Arabidopsis thaliana: one gene and its partner. Each later gene encodes a partner of the first gene's protein in a complex. Each region holds a gene or a part of one and is shown on either strand. Other genes may lie near its edges. The genes, in order: AT2G04700 and ATHM2. A codon is read from its position in the direction of its gene.

What was found.
Region 2: the proteins of AT2G04700 (region 1) and ATHM2 are in contact, whole or in part, in a crystal structure (PDB 7C3F), measured with the Arabidopsis thaliana proteins. Residues at the interface, in NP_001323778.1 of Arabidopsis thaliana: Thr34, Glu35, Pro36, Asp62, Val65, Val68, Val69, Lys71, Gly72, Glu75, Pro86, Cys87, Arg88, His89, Tyr90, Asp91, Lys93, His116, Cys117, Met118, Met146; in NP_192261.1 of Arabidopsis thaliana: Ala107 (codon at 3,563), Pro108 (codon at 3,566), Trp109 (codon at 3,569), Cys110 (codon at 3,572), Gly111 (codon at 3,575), Pro112 (codon at 3,578), Lys114 (codon at 3,584), Met115 (codon at 3,587), Thr138 (codon at 3,656), Asp139 (codon at 3,659), Pro142 (codon at 3,668), Pro145 (codon at 3,677), Gly146 (codon at 3,680), Val150 (codon at 3,692), Arg151 (codon at 3,695), Ser152 (codon at 3,698), Ile153 (codon at 3,701).

The regions. Positions count from the first base shown.
Region 1 is NC_003071.7:1,644,880-1,649,750, forward strand, and holds AT2G04700 (ferredoxin thioredoxin reductase catalytic beta chain family protein), read left to right. Parts: upstream 1-1,927; 5' UTR 1,928-2,081; coding exon 2,082-2,181; intron 2,182-2,269; coding exon 2,270-2,382; intron 2,383-2,550; coding exon 2,551-2,600; intron 2,601-2,673; coding exon 2,674-2,745; intron 2,746-3,212; coding exon 3,213-3,273; intron 3,274-3,421; coding exon 3,422-3,466; 3' UTR 3,467-4,158; downstream 4,159-4,871. Other genes in the region: AT2G04690 (Pyridoxamine 5'-phosphate oxidase family protein), read left to right, coding at 476-511, 594-952, 1,035-1,156. UniProt on the Arabidopsis thaliana protein: Catalytic subunit of the ferredoxin-thioredoxin reductase (FTR), which catalyzes the two-electron reduction of thioredoxins by the electrons provided by reduced ferredoxin.
Region 2 is NC_003075.7:1,561,602-1,566,389, reverse strand, and holds ATHM2 (Thioredoxin superfamily protein), read left to right. Parts: upstream 1-2,185; 5' UTR 2,186-2,334; coding exon 2,335-2,578; intron 2,579-2,994; exon of another isoform or gene 2,995-3,153; intron 3,154-3,488; coding exon 3,489-3,805; 3' UTR 3,806-4,187; downstream 4,188-4,788. UniProt on the Arabidopsis thaliana protein: Thiol-disulfide oxidoreductase that may participate in various redox reactions. May activate NADP-malate dehydrogenase.

The DNA of each region.
Region 1 (4,871 bases):
TAGGAGCTTTATTAGGGCTATTGAATCCAATCAGTGATAAAAGATTGAATCTTTTGAAATTGAAATTGGTAAAGGTTATATTTTTACAGAAGTTTGTAGCTTTTTTAGCAGATTGAATCCTATTGTTGATAAACTTTGTTGGGTTCTTGAGACTTGCTATGGATTTGCTTCATCAAGCTTTAATACTATTGAAATTGATATTGACTTTCAAGTACTGTTGGGTTCCTGAGATTTGGTAGTTCGTCAAGTTTGATTCTTTTGAAATTGAAAGGTTTTTAGGATTTCAGATTTGACACTAGGAGTAACAAATGGTTCCTCTATACTCTGTAGTTACCACTGGTCACTCTATACACTATAGTTACCTGAGATCTTTATTAGTGAAAGAGATTGTTGCATTGTTGTTATCAGCAAGGTAATGTGAGTGTAACAGTTGTGTATTACTAATTCTTTTTGCGGTGTTGTATTCCTCTTCCAGCACACTATCCGTTGATCATAAAGGCGCTCCCTTCGGGTAATCTTGTTTTCCATGAATCATATCACAATGTGTTTTCTTGCTTTGACATTATTGAGATCTCAATGGTCTCTATTTGCAGGAATGTTGTATCGTTTAGTGATGGTTTACCCGAGAAAGGTAACGGTATACCTTACTTTTACTTAACAACACTTGATCCAACTGCAAGAAACGCACTTAAAGACCAGAGAGCTTCACTTGCAATTAGTGAATCTCCTCTTGGAACTTGTACAAGAGATCCAATGAATCCTACTTGCTCTAAACTAACCCTTACCGGGAAGGTAAAAGAGTTTTTTCTTATTGACACGACAAAGAAACTTACTGTAAAATGCTTTGGTCTTTATCTTATTATAATGTTTCAGTTGCTGATATTGGAAGGAGGATCTGAGGAAGCAGAAGTAGCCAAAAAGGCTTTATTCACAAAGCATCCAGAGATGATGGGTGATTAATTGTTTCACTCATCTCTTAAGATACAGATTCATGATAGATTTGTATTATCATGTGATGGTTTTATCATTTGCAGATTGGCCTAAGGATCATGATTTCCGCTTCTTTAAACTCGAGATCATCGATATATTTCTCATCAATTGGTATGGTGGAGCTAAACCTATCACTGTAGATGAATACCTTCATGCCAAGTCGTAAGTACATTGCGTGAACCCTTTTAAAAACATCGGTAATCTCTGAGAAACCGAACTATGAAAATTTTCGAATCGTATGCCTTTTTCGCATTTGATCTCTTAGTTCTTTTGAACTGTTTTCAGGATCAAACTCGCTTCCTTTTTATAATAACTCACAAGAATCAAGCAAATGGTGAAGCAAGAAAATGTATATTGGATGAACAATAAAAAGTGTGTAACTGTTTCTGTAAATAACTCTTTGTTTTGGACCATAATAGATATTAAAATCTCTTGTAAATTACCTCAAAGCAATTTCAAAGGTATCCAAAATACTTTTCAATTTATGCAATTGAACCAAAACAAATTCTTCCACGTGAACCGAAACGAAAATCGGTTTTGATTTCTCATTTAAACCGAATAAACCAATTTTTTTTATTCATTAGTCTAAAATTTAAATTCTATTATCTAAACATAATTGAACCGGAACTTTCATAAGAGAATTGAATCCAATACACTAAAACAAAATAAAACTAGAAATTTATGTAATTGAACCACGTTGGAGTCAAATTAAAACCAAATCAGAATTCTATTGCAATTGAACCAAACTAATTTCACCAACTCGAACCGAAACCAAAACTCGATTTTTTCATTCATAATTCTACTCAAATTCTTTATCTAAACCGAATTGAACCGAAAGTTTTGAAGCAAAGTTTGAACCGATTCGATGGTCGAATTCCGGTTATTTCCGGTTTGAGGATAAGCTTTATCATTCTCTGAGAGTCTCTCTCTCTGTGAGTGGCGAGCATTGGTTTCTGGAAAATGAACACAAAAAAATATCTGAAAATTTCGATCTAAAAAGCATAAACGAATCCAAATTTCAAGAGGAGAAGAAAAATCTTCAAGTCCACGACGAAACTTTTCATCGATCTTCAAATTCCAGAAAAAACTCGATGAATCTTCAAGCTGTTTCTTGTAGCTTCGGATTCCTTTCGAGTCCACTTGGTGTCACTCCCAGAACTTCGTTTCGTCGCTTCGTAATCCGAGCGAAAAGTAAACAATTTGAATCCCTAGATCTTTGTTTAAAGTGATTGTGATTTCGGTTTTGGATTCATCTTGAATCTTCTTCTTGTTTTTGCAGCGGAACCGTCGGAGAAATCAGTAGAGATTATGAGGAAATTCTCCGAGCAATATGCTCGTCGCTCTGGGACTTACTTCTGTGTTGATAAAGGAGTTACTTCAGTCGTTATTAAGGTACTCTTGATTTCAATCGGAGCTTATTGAAATTTCAGATGAACTTGTGTTGATATGAAGATTGTGATCAACTGCTTAACTATTGAAGTGGCTTGTGTCTTTCTACTTGTAGATTATGAGTTAGTGAATGTAAACATCTTGAGGTTTAATGCTTAACTTTGTGAGCAGGGTTTGGCTGAGCATAAAGATTCATATGGTGCACCGCTTTGCCCTTGCAGGTGATTTGCTTCTTCCGAGCAATCTTGAACTATCTATGTATTCGTAAAGTTTGATCCTTTGTTGTTGATGTAGACACTATGATGATAAAGCTGCTGAGGTTGGACAAGGCTTTTGGAATTGTCCGTGTGTTCCAATGAGAGAGAGGTAAGAACTATCTTCTTCATGTGGTTGCATAATAAGCATTGGGGTTGCTATATAGTTAGAACTAAGAATATAAAGTCCTTTGGGAAAAGCTGGTTATATAGATCGTCTCCAACGTCCTTGTTGTTATTAGTTGGATAGTATTCAGCAGCATACGTATGTTGTAGTTTCCATAGAGGTAGCCGATGCTCCGTATTGGTTGTATCAAGATTGATGCAGAGAATGTATTCACATATTGCTAGGCAAGTGGAAATTGAATTAACCATAGTTAGAAAACTCCTGTAAAACTCTTGGCCTATGTGGCTCTTTTGATCAAATTCTGATACACCGCAAATTTAAGATCCTTTGTGTTTTAATAGGACTTAGTTTAGGTAGTAGAGTTCGATCAATTTTGCATCTGTTGACGGTTTATTCTGATAATACTTGCTTGTTTACATCTTGTACTAAAGTATTTATCACTTGTTCATCAGGAAGGAGTGCCATTGTATGCTTTTCTTAACTCCTGATAATGATTTCGCTGGAAAAGATCAGGTAAATCTCAAATCAAAGCTTGAAGGTTCTGTCTCCATTTTAAGGATACCATTAATGGTTCGAAGCAACTTAGTAGTATTGGGAATTTGGGAACCTATAGTATATAGTATATGGATTTCTAATTCTTTCTCTTGTTTGAATCTTGCAGACGATTACATCGGATGAAATAAAAGAAACTACAGCTAACATGTGAGAGAGCTGGTTCTTCCATGTTCATCACCTCTGTTCTTTAGGTAAAAAAAAAGAGAGATATGTCTCGCCCCAAATGCAGTCTTGTACATTGATACCCCGAGCATCTTCTTCGTTCTTCTGTACAACTCTTTCACTCTTAAGATAATATTCTTTAGTATGATCTTTTGTTTGCAAAACGATTACAAGCTATATAAAAGGATCCAACTTTACACGAAATCTTCAATAAGTAAGCTTAAAAGATCTAAAGGTTTCTCTTTCACATCTCTCAAAGCCAAAGCTTCCATAACAGTATCAATCCACTTAAATCAGTAGTTTTCTCATAACGTATTTCATTTGCTTCTTCTTCTTCTTCGGATCTCAATCTCCAAGTTTTATGTTTTTTCAAGCAGTGATATGGTCTTTACAGTAACCATTCTTTGCAACCATTCTCTCGTGATGTTCAATGTTCTATGTCGCATTCGCATGTGCCAAGTATGAACGGCCTCTATACTTGCAAGTTGTGGATTTTGGGCAAGCCATGCGTGGATGTCAAAGTATTCTTCACATGAAGAGTCGATTATTGTTGTATTCCTCTCTAGTTATGCTGATCAGAAGAAACTTGGTTGTACAATAGTGCTTCGCTATTTATCTTCAATTTGAATGAATAAATTTCCATCATAACTATCGGTTTTGGGCTTTTAAGTTCAATTTAAGCCTTTTAGGGTTTGTAATTTTGTTGTTCTGTTGTCATTGTCAAGGATGTCTTAAATTGACGGAAGAAGTCTGGAAAGAGTTGTTTTTCGAAGGTTAACATTACATTAATTTTGGTCAAGGGATACGGTAGAGAAGATCCTCTCTAGGGTTCCGATGAAATCTCTAAGAGCAGTTTGATTTACATGCAAAAAGTGGAACACTTTATTCAAAGATTTGAGCTTTGTAAAGAAGCACGTTGGTCATGCAAAAGTACAGCAAAGAAAAAAGGAGTTTATCGTAATCATGATGATTGATTTTAGGGTTTATTTGACGCACATCAATCTAAACACCAACGTTGAATCGTGTATAAAGCATGAAGCTAAATTTACTAACCTAGACGATCAGATGAAGTAGATGTAGCTTAAGTCTTTCACTACGATGGTTTGTTGTTAAACATCACGAAAGACAATGCTAAGCTAGTGGTTTGGAACCCGTATTATGGACAAAACCGGTGGATCGAGGTCGAGCCTAGTTTTCACCGATCCGACTTGTATTTGTATGCTCTAGGATATGAGAAGAGCAGAAAATGATGCGGTAGGCACAAAATCTTGAGATTCATTAATTTTTGTCGTGACAATTGTTTCTGAGTACAAAATCTATGATTTTAACTAGTCCTGGGCGTTTGGGTATTCGGTTCGGGTTCGGATCGGTTCTTTCGGATTCAGATCTTTCGG
Region 2 (4,788 bases), on another chromosome or scaffold:
TATTCTTAGCTTCAATGCTAGTAGTCATGGCTATAATCCAGGTACCATAGCTGTTTCCATCTAACAGTTCTGGAGCTAAGACTAAACCAGGATGATCGGAGCTAACAAGATGATAAGGACTGTGACTATTATCAGGAGAATCCGATACCTCAAAGTGACGCGATGAGCTGTATTGAGCTGGTTGATGAATCGCAGCATGAATCGAGGATCCTGGAGCTCTTGCTGATGAACCAGAAGACTGCTCATGAATCTTCGATGAAGCAATGACAAGTAGATCCGGTGAACTACTCCGACGAACACTCTTTCCATTTCGTTTACCCATGGAGAATCGAAACAGCTAACAAATGAGACTGGATCGCAAAGGAAACGAAGAGAAAACGTGTAGAAGTTCAAGAGAAGAAAAAAAATGAGAAGATGAACAAACTCCGGTGAGATTCCAGTGAAATCAAATCGGAAAAGTTTGTTACGAGACTGAGATCGAGATATTTTGCTCTGATACCATATTAGTAAAACAATCTCATTCTCATTAATTAGCAAAAGAGTACAATTGGGGGTTTATATACAAACTGATATTGGCCTAAACCATAAGCCTCTAAACCAAAATTAAGATTGGTTTATAGAATACCAACCTGTACAGACTCTATATGAAATCTATACTAACCAAACTAAGCTTATATACAACAATCTAAGCTATATACATTAATAGACGAAATTTTTAAACAAAACCCAGGATTCGAACATCAAATAACCCATCCCCAACGCAACAAATATTATCAACCAACTTTTCATTTCATCAATGACACTGTGAATCATATAAAAGAGATATGATGTCGGTGTTGAAGATAACTTCTTTATTGTAAGATTATTTTGATCGAATAAGCTGCCTCAAATCTTCTAATTTCGACAACTCTTTATCTGTGAGGACACTATGAACACGTTTGTAAAAATCCATCACTTGGTCTCTAGCTACCACCATTTTCTTTCTTCGCATAGGGCTGGGGAATAATGAGTTCTTACAGTGAAAACATAAGTGGTGACCGGACGCATTGAACCTAACATCGTAGAAAACATTGAGGAAATTTTTGTAACATAATAAAAAGAGACATGTGGAAAGAGAAAACAAAAATAAAACAAAATATTGAGAAGAAACCAAGAAAGGAGGAATTTCTTTAGTAGAGAGATCTACCGAGATTATAAAGAAATTGAGGAGTAGAAGAGATGTCAGCGAGCTAAAGTGACATCAGAGGAAAGACTTTGAAGTGGTTCCTCAATACTAGAGGTATATAAGAAAAAGAAAAAGAGGCAGATCCAAAATGTTGGTTTTGAAAGTTTTATAGATTTTTAAGATTTTGTTTTTGTTTTCATTTTTCAAGAGCTAATTGTCATACCATTACCAATCAAGTTTTAAAATGTTGGTTTTCCAAGAAAATACTTTTGCTATAATCTTTTTTTTTGTCATCAGATATTATTTAGGATTCAACGAACCAATTTTGAAGAAAATTGTTAACAAAAGCGAATTTTTCATGCCAAATAGTTTTTTATTCAAAATTTTAGACTTTTAGTTATCTTATAAGCAAGCGTTATAATTTATTTATTTTTTTAAAGAAAATTTTGAGAAAAACAATTGCGAAAAAATGTCAGGAGATCTTCAAATGTTCAAAAATACAAAAAAAAAAAAAAAAAAAAAAAAATTAGTGTGGGGTAAAATAATACGTTTAAATTTTATTGACTTTTCATTTCAATAGTCAACTTTTAGTGACTTCTTATTTCAGTCGCTAACTTTTTGTTGATGTTGCCAAAATAGTCATTAAATTGACCCGAGATCACAAATTGCGGGTAACGGAACTTTGTTAAAATTTCTGTTAAATCCACAAGTGACTGGATTAAAAAAAAAAAGTGCAACTGGCCTAATATGAGCCCAATAAAAAATATCTCAAAAGTTTTATGGGCTTATTACAGATGGGCTTAGTCAGAGCACTATCTTACCCAAACAATTAAAAAAACAATTTACAATATGTTTTCGTTTTCTACTTTTTTCGGTTATTTTGGGCAAATGATATCTACAGCTCAACAAATCAAAAAAATTCAAAAATATTTCAATTTATTATTTCTCGATTTTTTTCACAACTGTATTTTAATTGTATTTTTAGTAGAAATACTTATTTTTCCAAAAATATTTGTTTGTGTTGATGTATATATAAAAAATCTGCATCAGTGTTTTGTCTACATTTTCTCTTCCATTAGTTTCGTTATCTTTTTATTTTCTCTATCTATCTGGATATTATTTTTTCACTTGGGGATTTGGAGAAACCTCTCCTCTCTCTATCTATAGCCATGGCTGCTTTCACTTGTACCTCTCGTCCTCCGATTTCTCTCCGCTCCGAGACCAGAATCGTATCCTCATCACCATCGGCTTCTTCTCTCTCTTCTCGGCGGATGTTCGCCGTCTTACCGGAATCATCAGGTTTGAGAATCCGTCTTTCTCTCTCTCCGGCTTCGTTGACCTCGATTCATCAACCTAGGGTTTCTCGATTACGAAGAGCCGTCGTCTGTGAAGCTCAGGAAACTACTACCGATAGTATGTTTTCTCACTATTCCTTTTTCGATTTTGGTTATTAACTTGTCTTTGATTCGTGCTCGTTGGTGGATTTTGAGAACTGATTATTGATTTGTGCGAGGGAAATTAGAAGCAAGGTGCTTGAATTTGTGTTGTTGTTCTTGTTGTAGCATTTAGTAATCTGCTAAAAACTTGAGATTAGTTACAGATTAGTGAATCTGGAGGAGGAAGAAGAGTTTCTTTAGGAGAGTATACCTTTTGAGAAAATTCTTGCTGAAAATGAGGTTTCTGTTAGAGGAACGATTCATGCCATTTGCGTGAAATTTGAAGAAGGTTGCTTTTTAGGATCACTTCTTTTTTGGGGATATTTTACTTGATTAATGCAAAGTCTCTCTAACAAACCTAGAAATTAGGTTGGGTACCTACTCAGATATTTTATTGGTTGGATCATACACATTGTGACAAGAAACAGTTATTTGGCTCATGAGAGAAGAATGTTGCTTTTTGTGCTTTAGAGTAAACATATCTTGATTCTCTATACCAGCAGATAACGATTTTGGTTATCACTAGCATTGATATTCTACGATTTTAGATAGGTAAGTCCTTTTCCGTGATAATGTGTTTGGTGAGATTAGCAGTATTATCTGCTACAATGTTAACTCAGTCATTGGTCTCTCCTCTCTGGTGAAAACATAAAGCTTTATCCTTCACTGGATCTATCAAATTTCTATTTTGAAAAACTTTCACTTCTAGATCATTTTTAGGAAATATCATATAGACTTGCTACAACATACTGATCTAGCTGAAGATGGATAAACGGGTCAGCTGTCTCTTTGTTTTATTCGTCCACCTTGGCTGATATATTTTGTTTTCATTCATGATTCTAAAAGCTTTGGCAATAAGGTGTTGATTTGTGTTATTGATCCTGCAGTTCAAGTGGTCAATGACTCGACATGGGACTCTCTAGTTCTTAAAGCAACTGGGCCTGTAGTTGTCGACTTTTGGGCACCATGGTGTGGACCTTGCAAGATGATTGATCCGCTTGTAAACGATCTAGCACAGCATTACACTGGGAAGATCAAGTTCTACAAATTAAACACTGATGAATCTCCTAATACTCCCGGCCAGTACGGAGTTAGAAGCATCCCAACGATCATGATCTTTGTCGGTGGCGAGAAGAAGGATACAATCATAGGTGCAGTGCCCAAAACCACACTCACATCTAGCCTCGACAAGTTCTTGCCATGAAATATCACTTGTGGAGTCTGTAAGATCTCGTATCTCTCTGTCTCTCGTTCTTGTTCTCATTATCTCTGTAACTCATTATCACTGAACATCTAGACCTGGATAAATAATATGATGTCATGTCTTATGTCATTTTTACTGGTTTGAAGATGTTTTGAGATGCGGAACTAAAGGTATCAAAGAACAATCTTGGACTAGACTAATGGAACCACATTAAAATGATTCCACCAATCTTTTTTTGGTCATGAGAGAGATCTTAAGATTGTTTGGTTCTGCAAGTTTTTTGATGAACACACGCTAAGGTTTGTTACTTATTCTAAAACTCCTCGTATTAAAAGATATTATGCGACACTCTAATGAATGAGCACATGTATGCAAAAGGGGCTAAAGGTTCATACATGTCCTAATCTAAAGAAAGAATATACGTATTCAGCTGAAAAAGGTCTTTATCGACCACGAGCAAAAGAGAATAAATACGTTCGAAATATCTCCTTATTTTTGCATAAGCAAAGAAATTCATCCACCATAGTTTATGTGTACCCAATTTGTGGATAAGGATATGTCAATTAGGACAAAATGAATAATAGCCGAAAGAATTGAGTTATTTTTGGACTGATCCCACAGTTCCCGACAAGCTTTTGAGGTTTTAGAGTTGTTGATCCGGTCTATGACTAAAGTTCGACCAAAACCAAGTTATTTAGTTTGGACAATATAAATCAGAAATATCAAGAAGATAAATTATATGATTAGTTCATAAAGTTTTAGTTTTAGATTGCCAAGAAAATATTCTAATATATTAGGTCTGAACGAAAGTGTTAAATCTGATGAAACCTCTCTATTGGTAATGTCTTTTTTTTTTTTTTTTGGTTGCCGTCCTTGGTTTGAGAATTATATATTTAGGCTGAAGATAAGGTCAAAAGAAAGATGCAATCCGGTTTTATAATAATAGATCAGTTGGACTTTTATAAATGCATTTTCGTGACTTT